7 linked regions of the Mus musculus genome follow. The protein of the gene in region 1 purifies or fractionates together with the protein of each later gene. This does not show direct contact. Links are inferred from orthologs where the notes say so. Each region holds a gene or a part of one and is shown in the gene's direction. Other genes may lie near its edges.

The links.
Region 2: the proteins of Stub1 (region 1) and Yap1 purify together in Homo sapiens (affinity purification with mass spectrometry; 3 studies listed by BioGRID and IntAct, with this or other methods). This does not show direct contact. The link is inferred for Mus musculus from reciprocal best matches to the Homo sapiens genes STUB1 and YAP1.
Region 3: the proteins of Stub1 (region 1) and Pkm purify together in Homo sapiens (affinity purification with western blotting; 3 studies listed by BioGRID, with this or other methods). This does not show direct contact. The link is inferred for Mus musculus from reciprocal best matches to the Homo sapiens genes STUB1 and PKM.
Region 4: the proteins of Stub1 (region 1) and Hspbp1 purify together in Homo sapiens (affinity purification with western blotting; 4 studies listed by BioGRID and IntAct, with this or other methods). This does not show direct contact. The link is inferred for Mus musculus from reciprocal best matches to the Homo sapiens genes STUB1 and HSPBP1.
Region 5: the proteins of Stub1 (region 1) and Nadsyn1 purify together in Homo sapiens (co-immunoprecipitation; 3 studies listed by BioGRID and IntAct, with this or other methods). This does not show direct contact. The link is inferred for Mus musculus from reciprocal best matches to the Homo sapiens genes STUB1 and NADSYN1.
Region 6: the proteins of Stub1 (region 1) and Psma3 purify together in Homo sapiens (affinity purification with western blotting; 3 studies listed by BioGRID, with this or other methods). This does not show direct contact. The link is inferred for Mus musculus from reciprocal best matches to the Homo sapiens genes STUB1 and PSMA3.
Region 7: the proteins of Stub1 (region 1) and Bag2 purify together in Homo sapiens (affinity purification with mass spectrometry; 7 studies listed by BioGRID and IntAct, with this or other methods). This does not show direct contact. The link is inferred for Mus musculus from reciprocal best matches to the Homo sapiens genes STUB1 and BAG2.

What each region holds. Positions count from the first base shown.
Region 1 is NC_000083.6:25,829,704-25,834,525, reverse strand, and holds Stub1 (STIP1 homology and U box-containing protein 1), read left to right. Parts: upstream 1-1,606; 5' UTR 1,607-1,672; coding exon 1,673-1,834; intron 1,835-2,281; coding exon 2,282-2,480; intron 2,481-2,564; coding exon 2,565-2,730; exon of another isoform or gene 2,731-2,894; coding exon 2,895-2,982; exon of another isoform or gene 2,983-3,160; coding exon 3,161-3,217; exon of another isoform or gene 3,218-3,307; coding exon 3,308-3,424; exon of another isoform or gene 3,425-3,515; coding exon 3,516-3,641; 3' UTR 3,642-3,892; downstream 3,893-4,822. Other genes in the region: Jmjd8 (jmjC domain-containing protein 8 precursor), read right to left, coding at 3,936-4,016, 4,092-4,226, 4,320-4,387, 4,465-4,584, 4,673-4,741. UniProt on the Homo sapiens protein: E3 ubiquitin-protein ligase which targets misfolded chaperone substrates towards proteasomal degradation.
Region 2 is NC_000075.6:8,001,559-8,006,376, reverse strand, and holds the start of Yap1 (transcriptional coactivator YAP1), read left to right. Parts: upstream 1-1,780; 5' UTR 1,781-1,986; coding exon 1,987-2,262; intron 2,263-4,669; coding exon 4,670-4,818. UniProt on the Homo sapiens protein: Transcriptional regulator with dual roles as a coactivator and corepressor. Critical downstream regulatory target in the Hippo signaling pathway, crucial for organ size control and tumor suppression by restricting proliferation and promoting apoptosis.
Region 3 is NC_000075.6:59,676,304-59,680,215, forward strand, and holds the end of Pkm (pyruvate kinase PKM), read left to right. Parts: intron 1-1,740; coding exon 1,741-1,922; intron 1,923-2,424; coding exon 2,425-2,531; 3' UTR 2,532-3,069; downstream 3,070-3,912. UniProt on the Homo sapiens protein: Catalyzes the final rate-limiting step of glycolysis by mediating the transfer of a phosphoryl group from phosphoenolpyruvate (PEP) to ADP, generating ATP.
Region 4 is NC_000073.6:4,677,945-4,682,207, reverse strand, and holds part of Hspbp1 (hsp70-binding protein 1), read left to right. Parts: intron 1-159; coding exon 160-364; intron 365-4,263. UniProt on the Homo sapiens protein: Inhibits HSPA1A chaperone activity by changing the conformation of the ATP-binding domain of HSPA1A and interfering with ATP binding. Interferes with ubiquitination mediated by STUB1 and inhibits chaperone-assisted degradation of immature CFTR.
Region 5 is NC_000073.6:143,812,554-143,816,816, reverse strand, and holds part of Nadsyn1 (glutamine-dependent NAD(+) synthetase), read left to right. Parts: intron 1-589; coding exon 590-643; intron 644-1,094; exon of another isoform or gene 1,095-1,141; coding exon 1,142-1,231; intron 1,232-3,375; coding exon 3,376-3,427; intron 3,428-3,965; coding exon 3,966-4,054; intron 4,055-4,209; coding exon 4,210-4,263. UniProt on the Homo sapiens protein: Catalyzes the final step of the nicotinamide adenine dinucleotide (NAD) de novo synthesis pathway, the ATP-dependent amidation of deamido-NAD using L-glutamine as a nitrogen source.
Region 6 is NC_000078.6:70,991,341-70,994,480, forward strand, and holds part of Psma3 (proteasome subunit alpha type-3), read left to right. Parts: intron 1-274; exon of another isoform or gene 275-715; intron 716-1,672; coding exon 1,673-1,740; intron 1,741-2,165; coding exon 2,166-2,230; intron 2,231-3,010; coding exon 3,011-3,055; 3' UTR 3,056-3,140. UniProt on the Homo sapiens protein: Component of the 20S core proteasome complex involved in the proteolytic degradation of most intracellular proteins. This complex plays numerous essential roles within the cell by associating with different regulatory particles.
Region 7 is NC_000067.6:33,754,381-33,759,098, reverse strand, and holds the start of Bag2 (BAG family molecular chaperone regulator 2), read left to right. Parts: upstream 1-1,348; 5' UTR 1,349-1,407; coding exon 1,408-1,520; intron 1,521-1,532; exon of another isoform or gene 1,533-1,694; intron 1,695-4,718. UniProt on the Homo sapiens protein: Co-chaperone for HSP70 and HSC70 chaperone proteins. Acts as a nucleotide-exchange factor (NEF) promoting the release of ADP from the HSP70 and HSC70 proteins thereby triggering client/substrate protein release.

The sequences.
Region 1 (4,822 bases):
ACTGACCCCAGGACTTGCAGTCTGAGCCTTTTTGGAGAATGAATAAATATTTTACACAGCACCAGGTAGCTGTCCTGGGGCTCTGCAGGCTTGTCTGCCCCCTCACCCAAGCTGTATGAGACACCTCCCCTCCAGGACGGTCTGTGCTCCCTCTCTCCCTTCAAGCTCTGCACCTGACTTGAGGTGGTAGCTTTACTCCTGGCCATGGCCGGAATCCACAGGAGGTGGGGCCCCTGGGAAGAAACTGTGGACTTCCAGGTCAGTCCAAGTTCAGCAATCGTTTATTGTGCTACAAGAGCTTCCAATCTCCTGTTCTTTCAGCCTCCCTTCCAAACGCAAGCCCACAACAGAGCTAGGTTCACTTGGCCTGGGTCCTGTAATTCTTGGCAGGTCCTTGTGGGAGGCCCAGTCAGGGTGAAGGTCAGGCAGCAGGTCTGGGCATACATCTGCCCCCCAAGTTTGCACAAGACGAAGAGTCTACAACTCTAAGACACTCACTAGTGAGGTCCACAAGGGTTCTGGGGTCAAGTTACTAACCACCAGAACCATGATGGGGCCCTGGATGACCTCTCAGGCCCCGCTCAGCCCCGCTCAGAAAGGCAGTGAACTCTTGCACCTGGGCTAGAAACAGCAAGTAGTGCTTGAGTGTGTACTGGAGGGTTAGCAAGCTAGGAACTGTAGCCACCGCCTCTTCGTATATGAAAGCTGCAACCCCAGAAACCTCTGCCTCCAGGACCACTGCAAAGAGTGACAAGGAGGTTCTGGGGATAGCTTTTTTTGAGCTCCTAGAGCCCCCACCCAACTTGGGCAAAGATGCTACCTACTCACTCGAGGCAGTGGCAGAAACCACGCAGCGAAGTTTGACTGCGGCGCCCAGATCAGCAGAAAGCCGAGTTCTGCTTCTCCAAGTCCGGGGTTGGGGGTGTTAGCGGCCAACAGCTGATGCAGCAGCGGCTAGAAATGCCTCAACGACAGACCATGGGGTCAAAGGGTCTTGGTGCAGGCGCTCTCCAAGGAAACCAGCCGGCTCCGCCCTTGAAGAAGCTCCTCCCCATGACCGCGAGAAGGGCAAGAGTCCAGCCGTGCACCCGCAGCTACTTCTATAGCAACCGCAGAAGGTCCTTCGGTGTCAGCGTGTCACGTGCTTGTTTCTCAGCCATTAATGGCCGCAGGCAGCTCCTCCCGATTCCCGAGGAAGCCCCTCGAGAGCGGTCTGATCTGCGGGCCTCTCTTCTACCCTCAATTCCGCCTTCCTACCGGCGGTCCAGACGTTCCCAGGCTGTCGCGTGAGCCCGTGTGTGCCCTGGTGGTGCGCTAGGACCCGGGCCTAGTGACCGGCCCTCGGAAGGCCACTTCTCAATGACCGCTGCCACGTTCGCCCAGCTTGGGGCCGGAGGGCGGGGCTTGAGCGCCGATGGGCGGAGCCTTGGTCTGAGCAGGGTAGGTCTCGGTTACTGTAGGGCGGGGCCTGTAGAGCGCGGCGGAAGCTTCTCAGAGCTAAGGGAACTGGCTCAATCCACGAGGCTCCGCCTTTGCTCACGTGTCCCCATGCCAGCTCCGCCCCACACCGGAAGTTCCGGTGGCGGATCGCCGACCGGGCGGAGCTGATCGCTGCGCGGGCTGCGAGATCTAGGTGGCCGGGCGCGGAGCCCAAGCCGTGCCGCGCGGCGCCATGAAGGGCAAGGAGGAAAAGGAGGGCGGCGCGCGGCTGGGCACTGGTGGCGGCGGCAGCCCTGATAAGAGCCCGAGTGCGCAAGAGCTCAAGGAGCAGGGAAACCGGCTCTTCGTGGGCCGCAAGTACCCGGAGGCGGCGGCCTGCTACGGCCGCGCCATCGTGAGTGCGGGAGGGGCGGGGGCGGGGCCCGATGTGCCTCCCAGTTTTGTGATCCCGGACAGGGTTTCTGGCAGCCTGGACTCGATGGCTCGCTCGCTCCCCTGGTGCCCGGATTGCTGTTCCCGAGTCTAGGGCTGATTTGACTGGGAACTGGCGGGCGGGATGCTTGATTAAGTAAGACTAAGGATGACACCAGGAGCTCTTGCCCCTTGAGATTTCCAAGCCCAGAGCTTGTAGAGGGGTTGTGGGATTTCTCTCAAAAGCAGTTGGAGGCAAGAAAGCATGGCCAGAATCCAGAGCTCTTGATAATTCGGAAATCTCCAGTTCCTCTATTCCAGCCATGGGCCCCCAAAGCTGGAGCATTGACCAGATCATTGGCTTTCAGCTTGCTAAATGAGAGGGGATCAACTGAGCCCACACTCTTTGACGCCTGGTCTTGGTCCCCAGACTCGGAACCCACTTGTGGCAGTGTACTACACTAACCGGGCCCTGTGCTATCTGAAGATGCAGCAGCCTGAACAGGCACTTGCTGACTGCCGGCGAGCCCTGGAGCTGGACGGGCAGTCTGTGAAGGCGCACTTCTTCCTGGGGCAGTGCCAGCTGGAGATGGAGAGTTATGATGAGGCCATTGCCAATCTGCAGCGAGGTGGGCTGACAAGATGCAAGGTTGAGGGCACCTTGGGGGACCAGGATTGTTGACAAGTGTAACCAAAAGTGTCCACTCCCCTAGCCTATAGTTTGGCCAAGGAGCAGCGACTCAACTTTGGGGATGATATTCCTAGTGCCCTTCGCATTGCTAAGAAGAAGCGCTGGAACAGTATCGAGGAACGGCGCATCCACCAGGAGAGTGAGCTGCATTCATATCTCACCAGGCTCATTGCTGCTGAGCGAGAGAGGTGGGTCCCTCCCCCAGCAGACACTGAGTCACCAGCACAAGTGTTTTTATTGAAGGACAACAACCGGTACATGGGAAGCCCAGGAGGAAAGAGGCCTGAGATGGGGCGGGCTCTGTGATTTCCTGGTCAGGGCCATCACCAACTAGCTTCTGGTTAACCCTCAGGGAACTGGAGGAGTGTCAGCGGAACCACGAGGGTCATGAAGATGATGGCCACATCCGGGCCCAGCAGGCCTGCATTGAGGCCAAGCACGTGAGGGTGCCCCTAGTCCACATGTGGGTCATTGTGTGTGTGTTTGTGTGTGGCATGAAAAGTGCCCCAGCCTTTGGTGGATCTGTTGGCCCATGCATGACATGAGTGCCCTGGTGGACAGAGTGTGTGTGTCTGTGTGGAGACAGGAGTTGCCCACACATGGCACTCAACTCTGCAGGATAAATACATGGCAGATATGGATGAGCTCTTCTCTCAGGTGGACGAGAAAAGAAAGGTGAGGACCCCCGGAAGCTCATCGGCTGCTGCTGGTATGGTGACCCCCACAGCCCCCTCCAGTTCTAGACATTTTCCCCTTGTGCTATAGAAGCGAGATATCCCTGACTACTTGTGTGGCAAGATTAGCTTTGAGCTGATGCGGGAACCCTGCATTACACCCAGTGGTATCACCTATGACCGCAAGGACATTGAGGAGCACCTGCAGGTAAGGAGGGCCCATGGAGACCGGGCCATGGAGAGCCTTGGTACCCGGATCGGTATACTCAGGCCATTGAACACTCTTGACTCTGTTGCAGCGTGTGGGCCACTTTGACCCTGTGACCCGGAGCCCTCTGACCCAGGAACAGCTCATCCCCAACTTGGCCATGAAGGAAGTCATTGACGCTTTCATCTCTGAGAACGGCTGGGTAGAGGACTATTGAGGCCCCATGTCCTGCCTGGCACCCTGGCCCAGGAGGATCTGGAGACGGAAGCTCCAGTCCCTGTATAGTTTGTGTCCCTGGGCCTGCCCCCATCGGCCCTGCTGATGGGTTCTGAACTGCTCCCCTTCTCAGCATACCCCTTGCTGGACCATGAGCCTCCCTTGTCCCCCTTCTGGGCTGGAGAGTGGGTGAGGGTGGGCTGAGGTTGCTGCTGCTGCCACTGTCCTGTAATAAAGTCTGTGAGCACTACATTGGCATGTGCTGGTGCAGTGGGCTTGCCAGTTGCCTGTCTGGCTAGCCAAGGAAGGTAGAAATGAAGACACTGGTGTCCAGATTGAGTGTGGCATGCCACCACCGATCAGGAAAATACAGTACCTGGGAGAAAAGAAAAAAAAAATTTTGATTCATGGCTTTTTGAGTTAGCCCAACCCCCACCTACCAGCTACTGACTTCACCAGCCTGGATGGTACATTCTAGAGGCCGTGCTGACAGGGCTAGAGATGGGTATATTTCCAGCAGCCAGGCCAATGTGGTCTTGTTAGGGTGGAACTCAGGTGTCTTCTCAGGAGGGTAGAGGAACCAGCGCTGGAGGCAGGAGTGTAAGGTCACTATGTGTGCAATGGACTATAGACACCAGATTTACACACACACATAACACACACATAACACTGTACTGACCTTCCGACCATAGATAACCTCTGAGAAACCAGGCCCATGCCAGTGGAAGGGTACCCCAGATCCAGCTCCTGTGGGGTCAGTTATGAATAGCTGATGAACAAAATATATATGGGCTCCCCCAAGTTTGTTTTGAAGTAGCCCCTACCTGCAATTCCAAAGCTGTAAGCAGGGGTGGTTCCCAGGAGACGGAATGGTGGCGGAGAGTAGTGCTGGAAGAGGGATGCCCACTCAGTGAAGTTGTTGTCTCCAAAAAAGTACAGGGTGTCTGCCAGCAGAGAGGGTGATAGGCAGGAGTACTGGCAACAGTGGGCTCCCAAGTACCCCACTCCCACCGCTGCCTGGGTCTGGCTCACCATTGCCTAGGGATGCAGGATCCTGGGGCTGCAGCAGCTGTTCCACATATTCCTGGAAGGGCAGGTCCACTACAAGAAGGGGGAGCCAGTCGGGACTGGTCAGTTCTGCCTTTGAGATGTGAAGGCAAACCTTGCAGGGTGTGTAGCTCA
Region 2 (4,818 bases), on another chromosome or scaffold:
CTACCACACAAAGCGATAGACTGCTGCTCAGAATTCTTCCGGGCGTGTCTTAACTAGAGGAAGAGATTATCTTTTTGCTCAAGGGTCCTTTCTTTGCTTAATCCTATTTATACCCGTTTCACTCACACTGCAGACAAAATCATTAGAACAAGAAACCAGATTTCTGGAGAAGAAATTTGTGTGTTTAAAGTCAGTGTTGCACAACTCTGGGAATACACTCAAAAAGCACCAAACTGCTTAAGTGGAAGACTATATAGTTATGTCAGTTATACCTCATTAAAACCAGTTCTTGTTTTGTAGCTCATGACTTCAACAAGGGGCTGAGGAGAGGGCCGGTCACTAAAAGTACTGGTTCCTAAGAAGGCTCAGGTTCGAATCCCTGTACCCACGTGGCTGTTCACAACCAGTTGTACTCCAATTCCATGGAATCTAATACCATCTTTTGGACCTCTGTGGAACCAAGGCAAAGACATAAACTCAGGCAAAACACCCAATACAAAATAATTAACTTAAAAAACACGAACAGATTTTTATCATTTTTGGAGTGATTCCAGATAGGCTCCTGATAGATAAAAGACTGACACACAGAGAATCAGGGGCTAAGGTAATCTCCATTGAGGTTCATTTCTTAGTCTACCCTGCATTGTTTACCCTTGTACTAAACACAAGAGGAAAACCCACAATGCTCCATGAGGTTAAACAGTGACTTATGTTTTGAGTTGAAGTTCCCAAAGAAATGTCAAGTTTTGGTGTTAAAAAATTGACTTTTCACTTAAAAAAAAAAAAAGTTTGCTGAGCAAGGTGCCCCACATTTGTTATTTGAGCCCTTTATAGGCTGAGGTAGGGGGAGCAGAAATTTTAAGCTAGCCTCAGTTATGTAGTGAATTGGAGGAAAGCCTTAGCTACATAGGAACCTGACTCAAAACAGCAAAATAGGGTAGTCAACATGAGATGGATGGTTCAGGGTACCTGAGCTCGATTTCTGGGACCCACAACCAAGAAGAAAACAGATCCCACAAATGGTCCTCTGACCTTCACCTGTGCTCACTTGTACATAATTAGAAACACAAAAAGGAAGAAAAAGGAAGGAGAGGGAGAAAGGGGGAGCGGAAGGAAGGAAGAAAGAAAAGAAAAAAAAGAAAAAAGAAAAGAAAAAGGACGAACCTATGAACCTACAAAAACCGGGCTAGCAGAGGCCCTGGCTTGGAATCCTAGCTGTCTGTGGAAGCTGTGGCACAAAGAGTTGGAGGATATCCTTGACTACAGAGTAAAGCCTGTTTAAAACAAAATTTAAAAAGTAATACTGTTTCCTTTTGTAAGGTACTCCCAGTGCAACTCCTGGTTTCCAAGCTTCACTTTGAAATCATTTGCACCCGCCCTCAAGTGTTTTGTTGTTTCTTCTTCAAACTTGGTGGTAAATGGAATCAATGTTAAAACGCGGACCGGATTAACCTTAGTGCGGGTGAACAGTGTGGCCTTTGCATCCACCCTACCAAGCCGGTTGTCCCGATTCCTCGCGGCCTTGGCGTTGCGCGCGGGTCCGGCAGGATCTGCGCCCGCAGCCGAGCGGCTCGGGGCCGGCCGGTGGGTGCGCACGCAGCGCGGTCGCCCCCGGGTCACGTGCGGCCGGGAGTCTGCAGGAATGTAGCGACGCGCAGGGAAAGTTTCCCCGGGGGCCGCGGGCCGCGGATTCGGTGCGGGCGGGCGCGCAGAGGAAGGAAGAGCGTCGAGGAGGCGGAGCCCGCGAGGCGCGCGGGCGGGCGCTCCTCGCAACTTTTTAGTTTGGGCGTCTGGAGCCAAAGTTTCTGTCTCAGTTGGGACGCCGCCGCGGCCGGGGGCAAAGAAAGGGAGGAAGGAAGGAGCTCGCGGAGGGGAGGGGAGGAGAGGGGAGGCGGCCTCGGGCAAGGAGTGCAGGGCGATGCGGGCGCGCGTCGCAGCCCCCCGAACCTGAGCGCAGTGCCCCGAGCGTCGAACGAGGCCGCAGCCATGGAGCCCGCGCAACAGCCGCCGCCCCAGCCGGCCCCGCAAGGCCCCGCGCCGCCGTCCGTGTCTCCGGCCGGGACCCCCGCGGCCCCGCCCGCACCCCCGGCCGGCCACCAGGTCGTGCACGTCCGCGGGGACTCGGAGACCGACTTGGAGGCGCTCTTCAATGCCGTCATGAACCCCAAGACGGCCAACGTGCCTCAGACCGTGCCCATGCGGCTTCGCAAGCTGCCCGACTCCTTCTTCAAGCCGCCTGAGCCCAAGTCCCACTCGCGACAGGTAAGGGTATCCCGGGGGCGCGGGGCCGCGTGGGGGTGCGGTGCTGGGGGTTGTTTTCGCGGAGTTGGCCGCAGGGGGGGTGCACAATGCGCGCGCCTCCGCTCCGCACCTTCGCTCTGACGAGGGGGAGGGGAGGAGGGGGAGGGGGCCGGCGTCTTGTGCGGGACCCCAGCCGGGGGTACCCGATCTCCCCTTCCCGCGCCACTGCAGTCTCCGGTGGAGCTGTGTTAACTGCCCTCTTGTTTTCGCGTGCCGGTGAGGGGTGGGGGTTGAACTGGTCCATTGAGTTTCTGGTTCCTTCTCCCGGTCCCCTCCCCCTCCCTCTCCCGAAAGCTTTTCTGTTCTCGCGGCCCAGGCGCTCTCCGGATGCAGGGTTCGGGCTCCCCAGCCCGAGCGAAGCTCCCTCGACCCCCCACTCGCCTCCGCCGTGCCCTGGAACTCGCGCGGGCGGGATCCTTTCACACTCGGTGGGCTCACGTGTCCTTTTCCTAAATCGTAACCTATTATTTACTGTTCGGCCCGAAAGCTTTTAAATGAGCCACGTCTGTGTGTTGCGCAGGAGCTCGGCTGCGCTCACGGTGCAGAGGTTTCTGCGCCGGCCTTTGATAGCGCGTTGCAGGTTGACTCATAGGCCGAGTTCTGCCCGGCTCAACTGTGATTAAAGGTAATGTTTGGGAAGCAATGACTAATTCCAAGCTCGCCATTGCTCTTTAACTGACTGCGGATGTGAACATGGCTGCTTATCCGTATCCACGACGCCTGGTTATTTTCCCAACTGGATCCAGCACAGAAGTGAAACCGTTTCAAAGTATTAACATTCCGATAGGTCCTGGTAGATTTCTTTAGTGTCGCTCCCCCCGCTTTTAATTACTTAATTTTTAAAGAACTTGCTTTAGGCTAAAGCAGCACAGGAACTTTGCCCAAAACTTAATTGGTTTTCCAAACACTGCCATGTCGTTAGCCCACTCGGGCTGTAACTTGAGTGGAAAGAAGAGTTGCCGCCCCCACTCCAGCCCCCCCTCCTAGGCAGGCTTGTTGTAGAACGGGGTTTTTGAAGCTTCGAAAATCTCGATTAACCTCCCTACAAAAAGCCTCTTAAGAAGGAAGGAAAAGTTATCTAGCTGCTCGGCTAAATAAACTCTTAATTTGTAACAACAGTAGACCTAGATACTATTTGCTCCCTCCCCCACAAGTGAGTTTCTGTACTCGCTGAACTAAACGTATGTGACATGCAATCGAGAAACCGCTGGGGCAACTTTGAAGGAATACACAGATTGAACGCTCCATTTTGTAGCACTTAGAAGTCAGAAGGAATGAACCCGGGAAAGTGTACTTGTAATACTGGCTTCCACTGGGCCGTTCGTGGGTACATTTGCATTCTCTCTAAGCGTTTTAAGAGAGCTGTTCGTCAATAAATTTACCTTTTCTGTGCGCTAATGGTTTCCTAAAATTCAATCTATCTGGAAACTCAAAAACGGGGTTTTCCTATGGGGCTTTAAATGACTGCTGGGTCTTTTCAGTTTCCTTATCAACATAAATCTAGAAAAACGTTTTGAGAAACCCTAATTCCAATAAAAGGATTGGACTGTGAATGGTATGTATCAGAGTTAGTAAATAATCATCCACAGGCCCCTGCCTGAGAAGTCTTCTAGCCCTATATCCTCTCGCTTGGAAAAGCTCATTTACACACAAGTTTATTCCTGACCCCTGTCTTAACACTGGTCTGATTGGACCCAAATTTGAATCATTGGGGTCTTTGCAGATTTTTCTTTTGTCCCTCACCCAGCTATTATAAGTGTGTGAATCCACAAATTATAATTGAATTGAAAAAGTCTTTCTCTAGGCACAAAAAGGGCTAGCCTATTATTCTCTTCATTGAGGAGCTTTTAGCATTGGTGCAGTTCTGAGAGTTTGAATTTATTAAATGTTGTATAATTTATAATGGCTGACTTATCACATTTGTTTACAGTCAAAAAAGTGAAAGATGGGGGAACATTAGACATTTACAACAAAGAAAAAAGTGCCCAGTCGTTCCCCAGGTTTTGTTCTAGAACCTGGAAAAGTAACCACACTGCTTAGAAAAGTACTGATTATTTTGAGTTATGTAGGATGAGCATTATTCTTTACCACTAAATAAAGTTATTATGCCTAGTATTTGTTGTTTTCACACTGTCTAGGAGGTAGACATTCATCCAGATGGACTGTTCATCAGTAAAATAACATTTATAATGCCTATTAAATTTTTGTAATGGTCTATTTGGTCTGGTGTGTTCCTGTTGTGTAAGAAATTAAACATTAAAGTTTACATTTGATACTTAGATATTTGGTTGCCGTGACATACTGTTTGGAAGTTAGGGGTAGGTGCTGTTGTCTCTATTGTTAATTTTCATTTTGCTATTCCTGATAGGCCAGTACTGATGCAGGTACTGCGGGAGCTCTGACTCCACAGCATGTTCGAGCTCACTCCTCTCCAGCCTCCCTGCAGCTGGGTGCCGTTTCTCCTGGGACACTCACAGCCAGTGGCGTTGTCTCTGGCCCTGCCGCTGCCCCTGCAGC
Region 3 (3,912 bases), on another chromosome or scaffold:
TTATTATTACTTTTTATTTTTTTAAAGTGCACACAGAGGTCACCAGGAAAGGTGGTCTGGCCTTTAGGAGCACTGTCAGTTCTTTCAGAGGCCCAACACCTGCCTATATATGGCAGCTCACAACTGTCTGACTCCAGTCCTGGGGAAATCTAATGCATGTGGTCAGAATACCCAGGCAGCTGTAGTGAATGTACGGTGGAGGGAGAGAGTGAGGTGCCCAGTGTCTATCTATCTATATAGCACAATAGATAGATAAAAAATACCCAAGTGTGGTGGTGTGTGCCTGTAGCCCCAGTGCTCATGGTGCAGAGGAAGAAAGAGCAAGTTGTATCACAGCCTAGCTACAGAAAGCCAAACACATGTAAAATCAGTGTGGAGGACTAGGCACTGGTCTGTCTCCCTAAGGCAGTGTTCATGAACTAAGTAGCAGAAAGCTACTTAGGCCTGGGCTGAGGATGGTGGCCTCTGTGTAAGCTTGGCCATGAATGTTGGTATGTAGCTGGAAGCCAGGGATGATGGGGTACTGAGAAATGGGGACACTAAAACTATCATTTTTAGTCCTGGAGTTTTGAAAGCTCTAAAATACAAGGTCTATGCTAATTCTGGGGTTTCTCTGAAGAGTTCCTGGTTCCAGCAGCTACCTCCTTCCTTCAAAGCCTATGTATGCAGGCTAGCATGAAGCTCTGCTGTGGAATTCCTCAGTCCCCCGTGCCTAGCTAATTGAGTAATCTGATAGAGATAGACACTATCATTTGTTACAGGTTGAGAATAGGGGTTCCCTACATTCCCAGGGGATCTTGAATGGCCAGATATTCCTCTTACCACACCTGATCACCACCCAGATTTCTTTTTCTTTCTTTTTTTTTTAAATTTATTTATTTATATGAGTACACGTACTTCAGACATACCAGAAGAGGACATTGGTATCGGATCCCATTACAGATGGTTGCTGGGATCCCATGTGGTTGCTGGGAATTGAACTCAGGCCCTCTGGAAGAGCAATCAGTGCTCTTAACTGCTGAGCTATCTCTCCAGCCCCCAGATTTCTTTTTCTTTCTTTTTTTTTTTAAAGATTGATTTATTATTATATCTAAGTACACTGTAGCTGTCTGCAGATGCACCAGAAGAGGGTGTCAGATTTCTTTATGGATAGTTGTGAGCCACCATGTGGTTGCCGGGACCTGAACTCAGGACCTTCTGAAGAGCAGTCAGTGCTCCCAACCACTGAGCTATCTCTCCAGCCCTACCACCCAGATTTCTAAAACCATAGAAATTCTGAGGTTTCTTTTAACATTAGCTGCTAGGACTCCCATAGGAGAACAGTATAGTGTTATGGTGAACATTGTTGGCTTCCAGGGCCTGGTAACTCTGCTGCTGTTCTTTGCAGAAGAAGTCAGGAGCTAGGCACATGGTACTTGGATTGTAAAAGTTGCTGGCAGCTACAGGAGTGGGTTCTGCTGAGATTGGGCCAAAGCTGCCTCACTGCCAGATGGAAGGGTTCATTTGTGGGAAGAATTCTACCAGCCATGCTCCTATAGGACTGCCCATACTGAGAGCAGGATAATCATCTTAGAAAAGACAGGACAGGTCTGAGGGGCAGGCCAGACCTTGAAACAGTTGTCAGTGGGCAAAGCCTGTGGTCCAGAGTTGAATTAGAGGGTATTACTTTTGGCTTAGGCTTACTGAAAGGGTCTTATGACATGTTTAACGGTCAGTCTTTCCAACCTGTTTCCATCTCAGGAGTGCTCACCAAGTGGCCAGGTACCGCCCTCGGGCTCCTATCATTGCCGTGACTCGAAATCCCCAGACTGCTCGCCAGGCCCATCTGTACCGTGGCATCTTCCCTGTGCTGTGTAAGGATGCCGTGCTGAATGCCTGGGCTGAGGATGTCGACCTTCGTGTAAACTTGGCCATGGATGTTGGTATGTAGCTGGAAACAAGGGAATGATGAAGTGCTAATAAATGGGGACCCTAAAACTACCACTTCCTGAAGTCATGGGCTGGGCCTATCTGTTTTATCACCCAGTTGTAAGATTAGCTGGAGCTACTGTCCTGAGCAGGGTGGGGTTAGAGGGTGGGGAACACAAGCTTTTGTGGCCTTATTCCTATATAGAGACAAGGAGGCAGCTGACCCTGACTCTCTAGAGTATAAACTGAATGGTGTCCAAAGGTCTCTGCATTCTGAGTTCAGCCTCAGCCCTTGTTTAGGCTAGGAGGCTTGCACCATCTTGTGGTGAGAAGAAGTAACTGTCAACCTGCTCCCCTACCCAGACGAGGATTATTAGGGCAGTTATCTGCACCTGCCTTGTTGGATTTGTGTCTGGGTTGGGAAAAGTGCCACTTTGTGTGATCAATTAGGACTGTGGGGCTTTGCAGTTTTCCTCAAGTGTATACCTCTACTCACCAACCTCCTTTTCCCCCCAGGCAAGGCCCGAGGCTTCTTCAAGAAGGGAGATGTGGTCATTGTGCTGACCGGGTGGCGCCCTGGCTCTGGATTCACCAACACCATGCGTGTAGTGCCTGTACCTTGATGGCCCTCTGGAGCCCCTCTTCTAGCCCCTGTCCCTTCCCCTCCCCTATCCTTTCCATTAGGCCAGCAACGCTTGTAGTGCTCACTCTGGGCCATAGTGTGGCGCTGGTGGGCTGGGACACCAGGGAAAATTAATGCCTCTAAAACATGCAATAGAGACCAGCTATTATTCAGGGCCCTACCTGAGCCAGGGGTGGAGGAGGAATGCAGGACTGGAAACCCTGACTTTATCACAGAAGGGCGGCAGCATCTCTGGGCTTTGCTTCTGTAGAAAGTTGTCAGAATTCCCAGCCCTAGCCTGGAGTCAGGAGACAGCAAAAGAGTAGGGGCTGAGGGTGTGGGGCCCAGGGTCCCAGTGTAGATGACGACTTCTGGCCCTGGCCCTGACCTGCTTTCCCAACAGCTTTGGCCTCCCCACTTCTTGTGCACTCCACTTCTGTCACTGCAGACACTCCACTCTCCACCTTGTATTCTGCAGAGTCTCCAGGCCTGTTGCTATAGTGCCCACCTGAATGTCAATAAACAGCAGCTGAAGCACCTGTGTTGTGTTTTGTTTTGTTTTTTTCCGGGGGTTGGTAGTGGTGGTCGAGCCCTGCCCTTTGAGCAATTGAGAATGACAACAGCCAGGAGGCCTGGCCTTGGGTGCTATGGATCCACCAGATAACCTTCAAGCACGGGACCACTGGAGACGCCGGAGACTGAATACTTTGGGAGTATATAAGTTGCCTCCTGCACCAAAGTGCGGCTGTGTATCGGGAAGCTGATCCGTTCTATTTCAGGGCAAATACTAGAAAAGTCTGGGACAGGTTCAGCTAGCACCTAGAATGGTCGAATAGTGGGCTGATCCCTGTGGTAGAGGCCTGTTGAGGGCGCTGTAGGATGAGTCCCTGATTGGATACTTCACAAAACCCTCAGCCTCCATAACAGTTAAGCACAAAGGGTCTCTTGTTTTCCTGTTGCCCTCAGGAATAAGGTACATAGAAACAAGGTGGGACCCTTGTCCCTGGCAACTCCCAACAGCCACCTAGTCAGAGGCTAAGGCCTCTGAAATTGAGATGTTGCAGCACCAAGAGCTCAGGTTAGGTAAGGAGGTTGGAAGGCGGAGTAGAATGAAGAGCCCTGAGGGAACATTTTGATATGAAGTCCCATAATTGAGGACCCAGGCCCTGGTTTCCTCGACCTCACAATTTTGAAGACCTACCTGCAGCTGGGACCCATCAGGGCGGTCTGGGAGCGGGGAAGGCTCCACCAATTGAGCCAGGCTCATTCTGCGCGAGCGGCCAATAGGCGTGTGGGGGCGGGCCTTTCCCGGGGTGGGCGGTCCCCGGAGGGCACTGGGTCTGGCGCACGGCCTCGGGCTCCCGGAGAAGGCGCTGCGATGA
Region 4 (4,263 bases), on another chromosome or scaffold:
ATAGAATGAGAGACTCCTGTGCTTCCCCCAAGATGTCTCCTAGATACTTGTTGATGGAAAGAGCCATCAGTCCTTGCATTTGGCTGTCCTATTAGTGTCACTCCCTGGGCAGTCACTGAGAGACATCTTCTACCCCCATCCTTCTCCCTTCTTCCCTAGAGACGCCAATGGCTGCAGGAAGCCATGTCGGCCGCCTTCCGGGGCCAGCGAGAGGAGGTGGAGCAGATGAAGAACTGCCTCCGGGTCCTGTCCCAGGCCACACCCGCAATGGCTGGCGAAGCTGAGCTGGCCACTGACCAGCAGGAGCGTGAAGGCGCACTAGAGCTGCTGGCAGACCTGTGCGAGAACATGGACAATGCAGCAGGTACCCTCCTCCCTCAGTACTCCCCAGGCTGTCCCACATGCTGTCTGGCTCTGCCCTTTCCCAATTCTCCTGTATTGAACCAGCAGCTCCTCCCAGGAACAAAGCCCTCCTCATACCCCACCAAGTCCCTGTGGTGACAGATTTGTTCTGCTACTTCCCGAGGAGTCCTGGGACTGATGTTGACTCCCTAATTTGCTTGCTACTCTCTCAAGGGAAGGGAGGTGGTTTGGGATGGAGTGGTAATCTGAGGCCGCCTGGAAGTAGAGTGTTTGATCAGAGACCTGAGTGAGGGTATTTCATGGGGTATATCACCTGAGTGAGGGTATATCATGGGGTATATCACCTGAGTGAGGGTATGTCATGGGGTATATCACCTGAGTGCGGGTATATCATGGGGTATATCACCTGAGTGAGGGTATGTCATGGGGTATATCACCTGAGTGAGGGTATATCATGGGGTATATCACCTGAGTGAGGGTATGTCATGGGGTATATCACCTGAGTGAGGGTATATCATGGGATATATCACCTGAGTGAGGGTATGTCATGGGGTATATCACCTGAGTGCGGGTATATCATGGGGTATATCACCTGAGTGAGGGTATGTCATGGGGTATATCACCTGAGTGAGGGTATATCATGGGGTATATCACCTGAGTGAGGGTATGTCATGGGGTATATCACCTGAGTGAGGGTATATCATGGGGTATATCACCTGAGTGATGGTATGTCATGGGGTATATCACCTGAGTGAGGGTATGTCATGGGGTATATCACCCGAGTGAGGGTATGTCATGGGGTACTCCTGCTTTACAAAAGGCATTCGAGGCAGTAGGAATAGCTAGTGCAAACGTTGAGGTAGGATGGTGCTACTGTGATCAGAACAGACAGACATCCTCCTGTCAAAGGAGTGGGACGGACACGTGTAGGTCTAGGGTAAGCAATGACATTGAAGTATCCATGGTCAAGGTGCATTCTGTAGGTCACATTCATATGTATGTATGCATGTATGTATATATAATTTATTTATTTTTAAATGAGACAAGATCTCACTATGTAGACCTAGCTGGCTTGGAACTCTGTGGTCCAGGATGGTCTCAAACTCACAGGTATTTTACCTGCCTCTGTGTCTCATGTACTAGGATTAAAGGGGGATCAAAGACATTTGCTACCACAACCAGCTTTTTTTCCTTCTTTTTTAAAGATTTATTTATATGAGTACACTGTTGCTGTCTTAAAGAAGAGAGCATTGGATCCCATAACAGATGATTGCGAGTCACCGTGTGGTTGTTGGAAATTGAACTTAGGACCTCTGGAAGAGCAGTTGGTGCTCTTAACCACAGAACCATCTTTCTATAACCACCCCCCCTTTTTCCCCCTTTTTTATGTATGTATGTATTTATTTAATGTATATGAGTGTACTGTAGCTGTCTTCAGACACACGAGAAGAGGGCATCGGATCCCATTACAGATGGTTGTGAGCCACCATGTGGTTGTTGGGAATTGAACTCAGGTCCTCTGGAAGAGTAGCCAGTGCTCTTAACCACTGAGCCATCTCTCCAGCCCTTTTTTTCCCCCTTTTTTGAGACAGGGTCTCACTGTGTTACCCTTGCTGGCCTAGAACTCACTATGTATACATATTAGGCTGGTCTTAAACCCACAGCGATCCCCCTCCTCTGCCTCCTGAGAGCTAGGATTAAAGACGTTTTATGTTTATGTGTGAGTGCCTGCATGTATGTATTTGTGTGTACCACCACATGCATATCTGGTAACCTCAAAGGCTAGAGAAGAACTTTGAATCCCCTGGAACTGGAGTTACAGGCAGTTGCAGTCTGCCCATGTGGGAGTTGGTAACCGAATATGGGTCCTCTACAAGAACAGCAAGTGTTGTTAATCTCTGAGCCATTCCTCAAGCCCCACATTTTTTTTGTTATTGTTGTTGAGACAAATTCTCAGGCAGCCCAGGCTACCCTCATGCTTGCTGTGTACCTGGGGTTGGCTTTGAACTCCTAATCTTCTTTTCTCCTCTCCCCCGGTGCTGGAATTTCAGGTGTGTGTCACCAGGCCGAGTTTCTTTTTTTTTTTTTTTTTTTTAATTTATTTATTATTTATTATATGTAAGTACACTGTAGCTGTCCTCAGATACTCCAGAAGAGGGCGTCAGATCTCATTACAGGTGGTTGTGAGCCACCATGTGGTTGCTGGGATTTGAACTCAGAGCCTTCGGAAGAGCAGTCAGTGCTCTTAACCCCTGAGCCATCTCGCCAACCCCCAGGCCGAGTTTCTAAACTTTACTTTTATTTATCAAGGTAAAAAAAAAAAAAAAATCACAAAATGGGCCAGTGAGAGGGTTCAGTGGGAAAAAGTGTTGCCACCCAGTGACCTGAGTTTGTTAGAAACTCACATGATGGGAAGAGAGAAACACCTCCCAGAACCTTGACCTTTAAAATCGTACATAACATGTGTATGCCTACACACACACACACACGCACACACACACACACCACTAATAAATATAAATAAATATGTAAATGTTAAAAAGTCACAACAGAAGTAACCATTTTGAGTATATAATTCTGTAGCATCCATCTCTTTTATTTATTTAATTTTCTTGTTTTGTTTTACTATTTTTGGGAGGGAGGTTTTATGAGACAGGGTTTCTCTGTGTAGCTCTGGCTGTCCTGGAATTCAGAGATCCTGCCTGCCTCCTCTGAGTGCCAGGAGTAAAGTCGTGCACCACTACTGCCCAGACAGTCTATAACATCCTAGCTGACGCTGAATTTGTGACTGTCCTTCTGTTTATACCTTCTAAGAGGTGGAATTACAGGCTGTGCCAGCACTGGGCAGCATTCAGGACATTACAGTATTTTGCAGTATTACCTCCAGGTTTCAGAACTTGTTGAGTATGGCAAGCCTACTCGACTGAGCTAGATTGCTAGCCCTCTTTGCATTTCGTGCTTTGAGGCAGGGTCTCAGAAAGATGCTGAGTCTAACCTTGAACTCCTGAAGTCCACGCAGAACTTTTAATCCTCCTGTCTCAGCGTTTTGTTTTTTTTGTTTTTTTTTTGTTTTTCTAGGCAGAATCTCACTATGCAGGTCTGTCTGTGCTGGAATTTAAGTATATATATAATATATAATATAATAAATCAGTCAGTAAGTATATATATATATAATATAATAAATCAGTCAGTATGTATATATATATATATATATATATATATATATAATATAATAAATCAGTCTGGTGGAGTCAAACACACAGAGATCCACTGGCCTCTTCTTCCCAAGTGCTAGGAGTGCACTAGTATACCCTGCTCTGTCTTGGCTTTCTAGGTAGCTGGGGTAATAGGCATGTACCCCCAGTTCCTCCCAATCTCTTGTTTTGTGACAGTGTCTTGTTTTGTTTTGCTTTTGTTTTTCGAGACAGGGTTTCTCTGTATAGCCCTGGCTGTCCTGGAACTCACTTTGTAGACCAGGCTGCTGGCCTTGAACTCAGAAATCCGCCTGCCTCTGCCTCCCAAGTGCTGGGATTAAAGGCGTGCACCACCACCACCGCCCGGCTGTGACAGTGTCTTATGTAAACCAGGAAGGCATAATACTTCTACGTAGCTGAGGATGACCTTGAATTTAGGATCTTACTGCCTCCTTCTTAGTGCTGAGTGTACCACTATGCCTATTGTATGTGGTGCTAAGACCCAAACCCAGGACTTTATGAAGGCTATGCAGGCACTCTACCAACTGAGCCTTAGCTACAGACCTGACTCACTTCCAAATCTTTTCATCAGCCTTTCTTCTCATACCCTGTCTCTAAATGAATACCCTGTTTCAAACCTTGTCTCTAAATTCTAAGGAGTAAGCGGTCAGCCTGTGAATTGGGGGCTTTGACAGTTTTCTCTCCT
Region 5 (4,263 bases), on another chromosome or scaffold:
AGTTAGATCTCCAGGACCCATGTAAAAGCCCCACATACATTGGGATGCTTTTGAAACCCCAGTGCTGAGAGGTGGGGTAGAGGAATCGCTGAGTCTGGGTCTGCGAGTCCCAGGCTCAGTGAGAGACCCTGCCTCAAAAAATAAAGTGGAGCGGCTTGAGAGATGGTTTAGTGGTTAGAGCACTTTCTGTAAACTCTCTGAATTCAGTTCCCAGTGCTCGACAACTTCAGCTCAGGGCATCTGACACCTCTTGCTTCATGCACATGCCCAAGTGTGTGTGCACTTACGTATACACATGCACACAGATGTGTGCACACAAATGTGCATACAAGTATTTGTGCACATATGTACATGCACACATGACCATACAGGCACAAAATTAAAAGTAAAGGTTAATCTTGACAAACAAGATGGAGCTGAATAGGAGGATGCCTGATGTTGACCTCTGCCATCCACATGTGTATGCATGGGTGTACACCTGTGTATACACAACATAAGAACACTTGACTCTGTGGTCAGTGCCACTGCCTCTGCTTGCTGTGCTCATGTGACAAGATAGACACACATCTATCCTCCCTCCTTTCTGCAGGCCTATAATGCACCGGAATGTTCGCTACAACTGCAGAGTCATCTTTCTCAACAGGTAGGTAAGGGCAGCTGGCATACCTGTGCCTGGCTCTTGTTGGGGATACCTTGAGAGGTGCCCCTTAGTGAGCACAGCATACTGGCCCAGCAATTCCTATGACTCTCCTTCTCTGGGACTCAGCCACCCTCACTCAGGCTAGAGGAGGAGACTCAAGGTTGGGTTTGTTTGGGCTTTTTATCCTTGCCACCTGGACAATAGATAAGGTGGGGGAAGTCTCCTTGCCATGCCCCGCCAAACCACCCTCCACACACCAGGCTACAGCAAAGTGCACATGTTGGGTGGATAGAGCCATGGAGTATTTCTTCCCCCACCCCAAACAGAAACCTTTAGCCTAGAGAAAGGGAGGAAGGAAGGGAGGGAGGGAGGGAGGGAGGAAGGTAGGTAGGTAGGTTTGCTCAGGGCCCTGGTCTTGAGCCAGCTCAGTAGCCTTATCTTATCCTATGGACAGATTTTGTGGCAGAAGTGTGGTGTGAACAGTTTTTTCACCTGCTGTAGGAAGATCCTGCTCATCAGACCCAAGATGGCCTTGGCCAACGAAGGCAACTACCGGGAACTGCGCTGGTTTACCCCCTGGACCAGGAGCCGGTGAGTGGCAGGTTCTTCAGCATCAGTGTAGTCCCAGCCTCACACTGATCACTAAATGTCCTCTGCACATGCAGCCTCGGCTGGGAGGTGAGCCACAGGACACTAAGGGGGTGGTGAGGCTGGGAGGACTGTTCCTGCCATTCAGACATGGTCAATTCCATGCTGTCAGTTCAAATCTGAACCAGAAGAAACCATAAAACCTCAGTCACCAGTCAGTGGCACTGGTCACTGGTCACTCTTAAGTGGACGGACATTGTGTCTCAAATTGTTCTTTATAGCAAAACTCTCAGCATAGTCCATTTGACCTTTGGGAACAGGTCATTCTTCATTTGGGTTGGGGGAACTGTCCTGTGCAGTATATGGTAGTCAGAGGTACCTCAGCCTCTGAGTAGAGTTTATTAACCAAAATTATCCTGAGCTAGGTAGGCATGGTTGTGCACGCCGTTCTTCCTGGTGCTTAATGTCAACCTTGACTACATAGCAAGCTCCAGGTTAGCCTGGGGAACATGGAACTCCACACTTTACCAAATGTTTCCTAGGGGGCAAGATGCCCCCATTTGGGAAGCCCTGCTCAGAAGAGTTACTCTGAAGAGACACCATCACTATGGTAATTTGTTTAAAAGTAAGCATTTAATTGGAGCTTGCTTACAGATTCAGAAAGTTAGTGCAGCTTCATCTTAGCTGGGAGCATGGCAGCACACAGGTAGACATGGTGCTGGAGAACTAGTTGATAGTTCTACATTCGGATCCACAGGCATCAGGAAGAGAAAGCCCCTTGGGCCTAGCTTGGGCTTTTGTAATCTCAAATATATGAACCTACTAGGCCACACCTCCTAATAGCCACTCCCTAGGTCAAACATATTCAAACCCCCACATTCCATTCCCTGAACCCGTAGGCTTGTACACACACACGAGTCTATGGGGACCATACCAAGCCATAGCATAATGCAAAATACATTTAGTCCAACTTCAAAAGTCCCATAGTCTATAACAGTCTCAACAGTGTTATAAGTCCAAAGTTCAAAGTTTCTCCTGAGATTCATCCAATCACTTAACTGTAATCCCTTATAAAATAAAAACCAGAAAAGCCGAGTACATGCCTCCAATGTCACAGAATATACATTACCATTCCAAAATGTCATAGTTAGGCTCTTGGTCCAAATATTATTATTATTATTATTTAGTTTGTTGAGACAGGGTTTCTCTGTGTAGCCCTGGCTGTCCTGGAACTCACTTTGTAGACCAGGCTGGCCTCAAATTCAGAAATCCACCTGCTTCTGCCTCCCAAGTGCTGGGATTAAAGGCATGCACCACCACTCCTGGCCTTGGTCCAAATCTTGAGGAATAGTGACCATGAAAAGCTTAGGTCCAGGCAAGATGGAACATGCCTTTAATTTCAGCATTCAGGAAACAGAGCATGCAGATCTCTGAGTTCTGGCCCAGTAAGGAGTTCTCCATGCTAATGAGGTACCTAGAGCCCCCAAAGATTTGACCAATAAGCTTCCCTGCCTAGACATTTCTTCCTACAAAAGGTATTTAACCTCCGGTCCACCCTGAGCAGTCGGTATGCATCCATTTTCCATGATGAACAACCAGTGAACAGTTTGGAGCCAAGGACTGTCCCTTTCACCTACCACTACCCATGGCAGTGGTCGATGAAAGAGAAGGTGTAGAGAAGGCCTTTGCCTACAGAGCCACTGCCTAAGTCTCCCATAGAAGGCCTCTCTGCACTCCCAGCCATAACTGCCACTAAGCTAAGGACAATCAGTCACTGCTGAGCTAAGGCAGACCCCCACCCCATCCTCAGCTTTCGGGCCTTTTCTGTTCTTGGCTCTTCGGCAACTTCCAGCAGTGTCTGAGAACCACCTCAGGCCCGGCCTTGTCACAGGCCTAGGGACCTGTGACACTTCGTTCTGACCCCTCTGTGCGGCACCCTATGGACGACTGGGTGCTTGGGCAGCTTTGGCTTTCGCACATCTCAGACTGCATTTTCCCAACCCTGGAGCACCTTGTTGGCTGCTGCGTGGGATAAGCGCAGTCAAGCACTTCGTGTGTTTCACCTCCCCAGTGGCAGTGCCTCAGCATGGGGTGGAACTCGGACCCCCACGTCTCAGCTTTTCCATGCTTTGATTCTTTCCTTTCAGACAAACTGAGGAATATGTCCTCCCTCGGATGTTACAGGACCTGACAAAGCAGGTGCATCCTCCCCAGGGCTTCCTGCCAGTGCAGGCTGAGGGTGGGACGCAGGAGGAGCTCTTGGGTAGAATCAGATCATAGCTGGGTAGGTGGGAAGCACAGAGTGGAACTTCCATGGTGAGTGTCAGAGATTACAAACCAGGCTGCAGGAGTCAACCCTGCGAGTGGGTAGACTCCGATTCAGGGACAGTTCTAGGAAACCATAGACAATCAGCTGGTGGTTGGCATATCTCTGAGCTTTGTCCCTCTTTTTATATTGTGGACCTGGGATTCTGGCTCTTTTTGCAGCCTTGGTGAATGGTGACATCCTTGGTGGCAGGAGATGGAGTGGAGGAGAGGCCTGTTGCAGCCATAGTAAAGCTGTACGGGGAAATAGGAGTAGTGGTATATGCTGGGGCAGGGTACACCCATGGTGAGGAACGAAAGCCTTAGGCCTAGAACAGTATGTCAGCCTTCAGGAAATCAGACCACGATGTAGCACAGTATGTGGCCCTGGGATCTAAAGCGGTCTCTCCCTCCCCACCCCACCCCCCGCCAGAAAACTGTGCCCTTTGGAGATGTGGTACTGGCCACCCAAGACACCTGTGTCGGGAGTGAGATCTGTGAGGAGCTCTGGACACCACGCAGGTCAGCCGGCTCTCTGTGCCATCCGTTCCCCATCCTGGGCCTGCCAGTGGGAAGACCCAAGCTTTGCAGTTAAGGTCATGTCCTTAACAGTGGAGGTCCCTCCAGATAGATAGCTAAAGGGCTACAGGAACCACTCCACTTGACTCTCTCCACAGCCCCCACATCGACATGGGCCTGGATGGTGTGGAGATCATTACCAATGCCTCGGG
Region 6 (3,140 bases), on another chromosome or scaffold:
GAGAGAATTATAATTTGTCAAGAGCAGTAATGTAGGCCAGTCACAGCATCCAGGAGGCAGAGGCAGGAGGATCTCTGTGAGTTGGAGACCAGTCTGGTCTACAGAGCAATCCCAGGGCAACCAGGACTAAACAGGGAAACCCTTCCTTGTCTCAAAAACCCAACAAAAACCAAAAAATTAATTTTAAAGAATGCAGACACTTGCTGTTAAAATATTGTGTAGAGTACTCGCTTTCTAGCTGCCTTTTCAGGTAAACTACACAAACTACAGTATTGCTGAATATGGTTCTTTATGTAATAGTATCTTTCAGGTTTTGCATTTGATAATACAAACAAGGAAAAAAATCTGGGTTCTATCATAATAAAAGATGGTGCCTATAATCTCTCACAAAGGGATTTTGTTTCTTACTATTCCCATTCTTACCAAGACTCATCTCTCTTCATTTACCTTCTGTTATGAAGCAGTCTTCCTTTTTTAAGTCAGTTAAGAACCATATTACATTGGAAAGTGAAAGTAATTCCTTTAAATAGTTTGAGTATGGTACAATCCAGGGTCTGTTGCTGAAATAGTCTTTGAAGTTCCTGTTGGAAGTCAACCCTTTGGCACCTTTCATAGTTTGTGATTGGTAGTACTTGTTCCTCTTCAGAAAGCCATCTTTTCATCCTTGTAACTAAGGTGCTCTCTTGTACTATACAGCAAGGCTTTAGCAGAGCCTCTAAAAGTAAGAAAAGAAACAGAAAGCTTTGTTTTTCTATCATAGGGAGGTTTTTGTCATTTTGAGGACAGCCTCAGATTCAGGAGTGTCCTGCCTTAACCTCCTGGGATTACAGTCATGAGCCATTGCTGCCAGCTGAAGCTCAGTTGTTTACTGTTACTGTAACTGCTTGTGTGCCTTCTTGTTTGTAATGTATTACACCATAAGAACCAGTTTGAGTGGCATTGACACTATCTGGACAGATGGTTTAAATTACTGGTTTGTTTCTGAAATATGTTTACAAATAGAAAAAATGGGTATCATGAAAAGGCATATGGTCTTTCTAATTTGAATCTGTTTTCTTTCTGAGATGTCTTTTATTTGAAGCCTTAAACCATTATCAAAATAAACAACTTTTTTTTTATTTGGGGGGGGGGGGGTTCGAGACAGGGTTTCTCTGTGTAGTCCTGGCTGTCCTGGAACTCTGTAGACCAGGCTGGCCTCGAACTCAGAAATCCGCCTGCCTCTGCCTCCCGAGTGCTGTGATTAAAGGCGTGCGCCACCACGCCCGGCTTCAAAATAAACAACTTGAGAAATAGAAGTATATCAGTATTTGTAAAGAGTGTCTCAATTCCAGTGTAATTTCCCATTTTAAGGAAAATAAAACTTTTATTTTCTGTGTATAAGTAGTTTGCTTGCATGTACTGTGTCTGACTGTAAGAGACTGGAGAGGGTTTTGGATTGGGGGAGAGGAGTGGTGGGGTTAGATGTGGGTTCTAAGTCAGCATTGTGTATGCTGAGAACCAAAGCCAAGTGACCTTACAACTGAGCATCTCTCCAGCTCCTAATCTGTCTTTCTAAGGTTGAACTAGGCTGGAGAGTATGTCATTTTATAAATACCAGGCACACAACGTCTACTTTGTACTCACTGTTTATAGAACTTGTGTTTATTTTGTGTTAATTTCTTTTCTGTTGTAGAATTTACATAGTACACGATGAAGTTAAGGATAAAGCTTTTGAACTGGAGCTCAGCTGGGTTGGTGAATGTAAGTTACATTTGTACATTTATTGTTCTAGAATTTATTTGCACTTTACGACAAGTTAATGAAAGAATTCTTGCCGGGCATGGTGGCACACACCTTTAATCCAGCACCTGGGAGGCAGAGGCAGAGGCAGAGGCAGGCGGATTTCTGAGTTCGAGGCCAGCCTGGTCTACAGAGTGAGTTCCAGGACAGCCAGGGCTATACAGAGAAACCCTGTCTCAAAAAAACAAAAAAGAAAAAAAAAAACAAAAAAAAAAACCGATTTATAAGTCAAGCTTACTGTTATTTTTAAGTGAGTTCACCTGTGAATAATGATTATTTGGGGGAGGAGGCAACAGGAAATGATCTCTATGCACTTGAAGATTAGGGCGAGTTCACAGTATTACAAATTATAATCCTCATATTTAATATATGGTTTGATTTTATAGTAACTAAAGGAAGACATGAAATTGTTCCCAAAGACATAAGAGAGGAAGCAGAGAAATATGCCAAGGTAAGCAGCAACTTGTTCTGAACAGGATCGTGGTAATGAAGTAATTTGGTTGATGTTTGCTTGAAATTAGGGTAAACTGTCTTTTAGATTACTGGTTTTTTTGTTTGTTTGTTTTTTTAAAGATTTATTTATTATATCTTAAGTACACTGTAGCTGACTTCAGACACACCAGATGAGGGTATCAGATTTCATTACCGGCGGTTGTGAGCCACCATGTGGTTGCTGGGATTTGAACTGGGATTGGACCTCTGGAAGAGCAGTCAGTGCTCTTAACCGCTGAGCCATCTCTCCAGCCCCTAGGTTACTCTCTTTAAGGTTATCTCTGGTGGGGATAGATTTGCCCTAGCTCTAAACTTTTATTTTTTATTTTTTGTTGTTGGTGTTTGCCTCTTTAAAAAAAGGAGTTGTCTCCTTGAACATTTCAGGGTTGCTGGGCATGGTGTATCACCTGTATTCACAGCAAAGGGAACAGAGGCAGGAACATCTCTCAGTTCAAGGCCAGCCTGGTCTACAAAGCAAGTTCTAGGTCAGAGGGGGAAAACACAGAAACCCTGTCTCTAAAAGCCAAAAAGAGCGGGAACAAAAAAAGCAAAGAAAATTCCAGGTTTTTCCTTCCAGGACATTTAATGCTTTTATCCATAGGACAATATAGACTTATTGGGTTATCTTTAAATGTGGTATTTTTCAGGAATAAATAATTTTTAATTACAGATGTTAAAAGTGCAGATTCTATAGGATGTACCAGAATGAAAAACTTAAAACACTTTTTTCTTTTAACAGGAATCTTTGAAGGAAGAAGATGAATCAGATGATGACAATATGTAATATTTTCTTCCCCATCCGCTGGTTTACATTTCTGTAACAGTTGCATATGGCTAGCACCATGGACTATATATACCCACTGACCGAT
Region 7 (4,718 bases), on another chromosome or scaffold:
TCCAAAGCATGCTCAGTTTAAAGTCATAATTTATATAAGGAAAAGAGCATAGGCGTGTCATTAGACAGGAGCATATCCGTAGTAACTTAGACTGGAGATGCCTCTGTGCGTGTTCAACGTGTGGAGACATTTAAACAAACATATGAAGATCCCTGCCATTTTAGTTACTTTCCTACTGCTGTGATAAAACACCTCCACCAAGACAACTTGTAAAAGAAAGCATTTAATTGGACTTAGATACAGAGGGTCTGAGTCTATGATGGCTGCAGAGACATGTCCTGAGCACTCAGATCTCAAACCCAAGCAGAGGCAGAGAGACACTGGGAATAGCTTGGTCTTCTGAAACCTGCCCACGGGGAGTGATACACTTCCTTCAGCAAGGCCACACCCAGGCCTCCCCAGTGTTCAAGTGCTAGAGAGCACAGATGGCATCTCATTCAAACCACCACATCTGCCTGGCCTCGTTGCCAACCTAACAGAGCTATGTCTGCGGCCACTTTTATTTTTCCTTTGACACTTGCTGAAGCTACCCAGCCTAGCCTTGAATCCACCCTGGCCCACGTTACACAACTTGTCAGCCTCCAGAGGAGCATTAGACCTGAGACCTGCCCAAGTTCAGACTTTCAAGATGTCCACAAAATGTTCAGATTTCACGGTTGTATCGTGAGATGACAGTGTTTAATGAAGCCAAGATAATCCACCGTTTATTAGTATTAAGATGTGTTCGGGGTGTGGTGGGGACAGGATTAGAAACTGTACTTAAGGGGCTTGTCTCTGTTCAGTAATCTAATGGCTTTGAGTTCTGGGTAAAGGATGTAAATGTACTTTGTTTCCCATTTTCTGTACCCTGTACACTGAGAGGACAAAACACAACTTTAAGATGCGGCTTCGTATTTCAGACCTACTGACCTCTGCAGCTTCTGACATCTAAGCCTACTGAATATCATTCGCAGAGGGTTTAAACAAGTTATGTGTGATAGTAATAATCCTTTCATTGGAAAGGGGAGACAACACGGATCCACTTGGCTTCTCCTTATTTGGAGCCTGTGGTCTAGGCTTTCCCTGTCCTCTCCCGAGCCTGCCTGGTCACCGGACAGGTCGAACAAGTAGAGACTGCCCTAGGGTGCACTGGATTGTCTCCTCTTCTCACGGGCTGCACCCACTTCGTCCTTGCTGTGAACCGTGGGTGCTGGGAGGACCGGCCGAGGCCCTGGGCGCCGGGGCAGGGTCCCCCACCCTGGCGTGCCCGCGGCTGCGACCGCGCCTGCCCTTGTTTGGCCGCACGGCCTCGGGGGTGGAGAGCCGGGGAGGTGGGGGCGGTGCCGTCCGCGTCAGCGGCGCCCGTGGTGACGGCGACGTGCGGCTCGCGCCACTGCTGCCCGCGGACGCCGAGGACCCCCGGAGCTCATGGCCCAGGCGAAGATCAGCGCCAAGGCCCACGAGGGCCGCTTCTGCCGCTCGTCTTCCATGGCCGACCGCTCCAGCCGCCTGCTGGAGAGTCTGGACCAGCTGGAGCTCAGGTGAGGGCCGCGGGGCGCGCACAGGGGCGAGCGCGGGCGGGGGCGCGCTCCGGTTGGGCTCCCCTCCCCCGGCCCGGCAGACTGGCGAGCGAGTGCGGCTTGCAGAACTTCCAGAATCTTCTGCGCGGTCCCCCTCTGCCTTTAACTTTTCTGCTTCCAGGAGGGAGGCAGCAGGTTGGTGTGCCCCCCCCCCCCTCACCCCACACTGGAGTAAGTTTCTTTGCCCCAGATCACTTCATAGTAATACAAGTGTAAGGGAGGGGGGGGTGGTAGTATCCAGGACGGCCCCTCCTGGGGATCATCGAGAATCGGACTCATGAGAGACCGCGCGAGGTACACCGAAGTTGGATACCATCCTTCATTCTCTCAACCACGTGCAATGCCCTCTGCAGTCTGTCCGTGTTTGTTGTACATTTAGAAGACACGGCTGACACCTTGGAAGTGCCAATCGCAGGCCCGAAAACACCAAAGGCAGGAGTCACACTCTCCCTAAGATTCTGACACGGGGACAGCCTTGTCGTAAAATTTCTAACTCATGAATACTACTAACGAATGCTGTGAACACTTGGTTGGCTTTAACCACGTGAGCCTTATGTATCTGGTGGAAATGTTAATGTCTTCAAAGTTGTGCAAGTTTTGATCATGTGCAGGTGTTCCATGAAAATCTTATCAAGATGCCCTGACACACACGTTGTTCCCTAGTTTTCTCCGGGTTCTGCGTAAGCAGAACACTATGACCCAAAATTATAAGAGGGAGATGAATCTCCCTCCACGCAGCCACCAAACACAGGGAAGTGTGTCTGCACAGGAAAAAAAAAATGCAAGCAGTGTTCGTTACACGGGAGGCGCTCATTACTGTTACTATTAGGAGAAAAGAGCCAGAAGGTGAGAAAACTTTCACTGACTGTGGAGTAGCCACAAAAGAAACCTGAACCCTATATCCCCCAACTCCGGGAGACAAAGGGACCTGCGCTGTGAAAGGGGGCGAGAATGTTTCCTTGTGCGAGGTAGGCTCTAACCTTTGACAGTATATTCCCAACTGCTCCGATTTTTTTTCTTGAAAGGGTTCAGGAAGTTGTGACTCTTCAAGCTGAGTCATTGTTCTGAACCTTTACTTAATCAAGCCTGTGTGCCGAGTCCTTGCTCTTCTCCTGGGGGCCTCTTGAAAGTCTGGAGTTTGCATAGACATTCTAGTGTCTGATTACTATCAAAGGAATCCTGACTACCAAACATAAGCGATTAAATTACGTTACTTATTAACAGTTGCGCTGAAGGGGTTTTATTTCTGTGTTTAATGGTTCAAGGCCTTTACCAGTAACTGCAGAGTTCTGTAAGTCTTGTTTCTCCCTTAAAAATGTAATGAGCACTTAGAAGTAAGTGTGTCAGAAGGGGCAAAGAAATAGAAAGAGATGCTGCCTGGTAAGGCTTAGGGGCCCTTTTTAGAAGCCATCTGGACAGTGCCACAGAGCATGACAGTATTCAAAATTAGACTTTTTAAAAATGGGGACGATGCTCCTGTGACTTCCCCCTAGCTTTCTTAGTGTACACGTCTGAGGACAACAGTGGACGGGGTACTACCGGAAATCACTGGATTGTCGCCAGTGCGCATCTTCCATTCAGGTGAATGGGTTCTGTGAACAGCAAAAGCCTGCTCCCTTGTAAGACTGAAACCACACCCAAGGCTTTCTGTCCTGCAGGATGCACTGATCTTCCGGGCATTGAAAATGCTTTTAAATGTTTAGCCCAGTTTTACAAGCTGGTAAAGGGTGCCATTGGTTTTTAATGGCTTATAATATTACAATTAAAAACATTTTTACATTAAAATATCCTTACATTAAAAAAAATTTTTTTTTTACTACATCTCCTTTCCTGTGGTGCTTTCTCTAAAAAGATAATCCTGTCCTTTCCTGATTTTCATGACCAGTTCTATGGGGACTCTGCACATGCTGAGGCTAAATACTGTACTTTTCAGTGGTTGTAAATAATCCACGTTAGCATTAGTCTGTAGGCTAGGCCGCGTGTCTCTGTGGGAGTTACCGTTATCTGTATTGTACAGATGAGAACTTGAAGCTCAGATATATACAGTGTGTCTCAGTCCAGAGCAGTGGACTTCGCCTAGGAACACGGGGAGACCGGCTGCTCAGACCAACACCATTTGTCCTGGTCTTGAATATCACTTTTCAAACTGTCCAGCTGATATATGAATGAATATGATTTTACTAAAGGAGGGGAAAATCGATTTAGCATTTGATTCAGTAAACCTTGAAGACCTAGAACGTGCCAGTTATCGAGTAGCTGCTCCGGGCCTGGGGTTTGGACATTGGCCAAGGAGGGATAAATGATTGACAGGGCTGGAAGGCTGGCTCTTTACACATCTCCCAAAACCGATCCCGCCCGCAGTGAGCAGCTCCTTTCCAGTTCACTCAGCCAGGAAAGGGTGACTGCCAGCGGGAGCCAGGGAAACGGGCCACCCGCCTGCTTTGGTTTCTTACTGTTTAAGGTTCCTGTTCGGATGCGCCAGTGTTCCAGGACCCACGAAGCAAGTTGACACCATACTTAATTTGGAGTAACAGTCTGTAATTTAGAAGGAACACTTTTCGTGTACACTGTAATTTCAACCACTGTAATTTCAACCTTATAAAGCCCCTGGGAAAGGAAGGCATTATCTTTTAGCAATGAGAGCGCTGGGCTGCGATGGGTCTTAATTGGAACGATGTTTGTTTAGCACATTCACAAACATAGGTTTGATCTCTGGCTTCAGAAAACCAGCATAGTGGTTCATGCCTGTAGCCCAAATCCTAGAGTTGTGAGGATTTGGTCATCCTGGGCTACATAAGGAGTTCTGGGTCAGCCTGGGACACATGAGACCCTGTCCGGGGATAGGGGTGGAAGAAACTGAGGGACTAGGTGCCTTGCCTTACTGGTTAGTGGTTCATTCACGCTGACAGTGAATGAAATACAAGCATTTTGATGACTGGGAAAACCAATTCCTGACAGTATCGGGATGCTGAGGGTCTCACATGGAGCCTGGTCTATGAGTTTAAGAATGTGTTTTAGAAAAAGCCCCCTTCGCATAAATCCACAGAGATGAGTGGCGGCCACCTCCCTGTTTATGAAAGCACGCAATTTTGTCATTGGCAAATGAGCCCGTGTTCATGACAGTACGTGCAGATTGGCCACTGTGAAACCGGCGTGTGC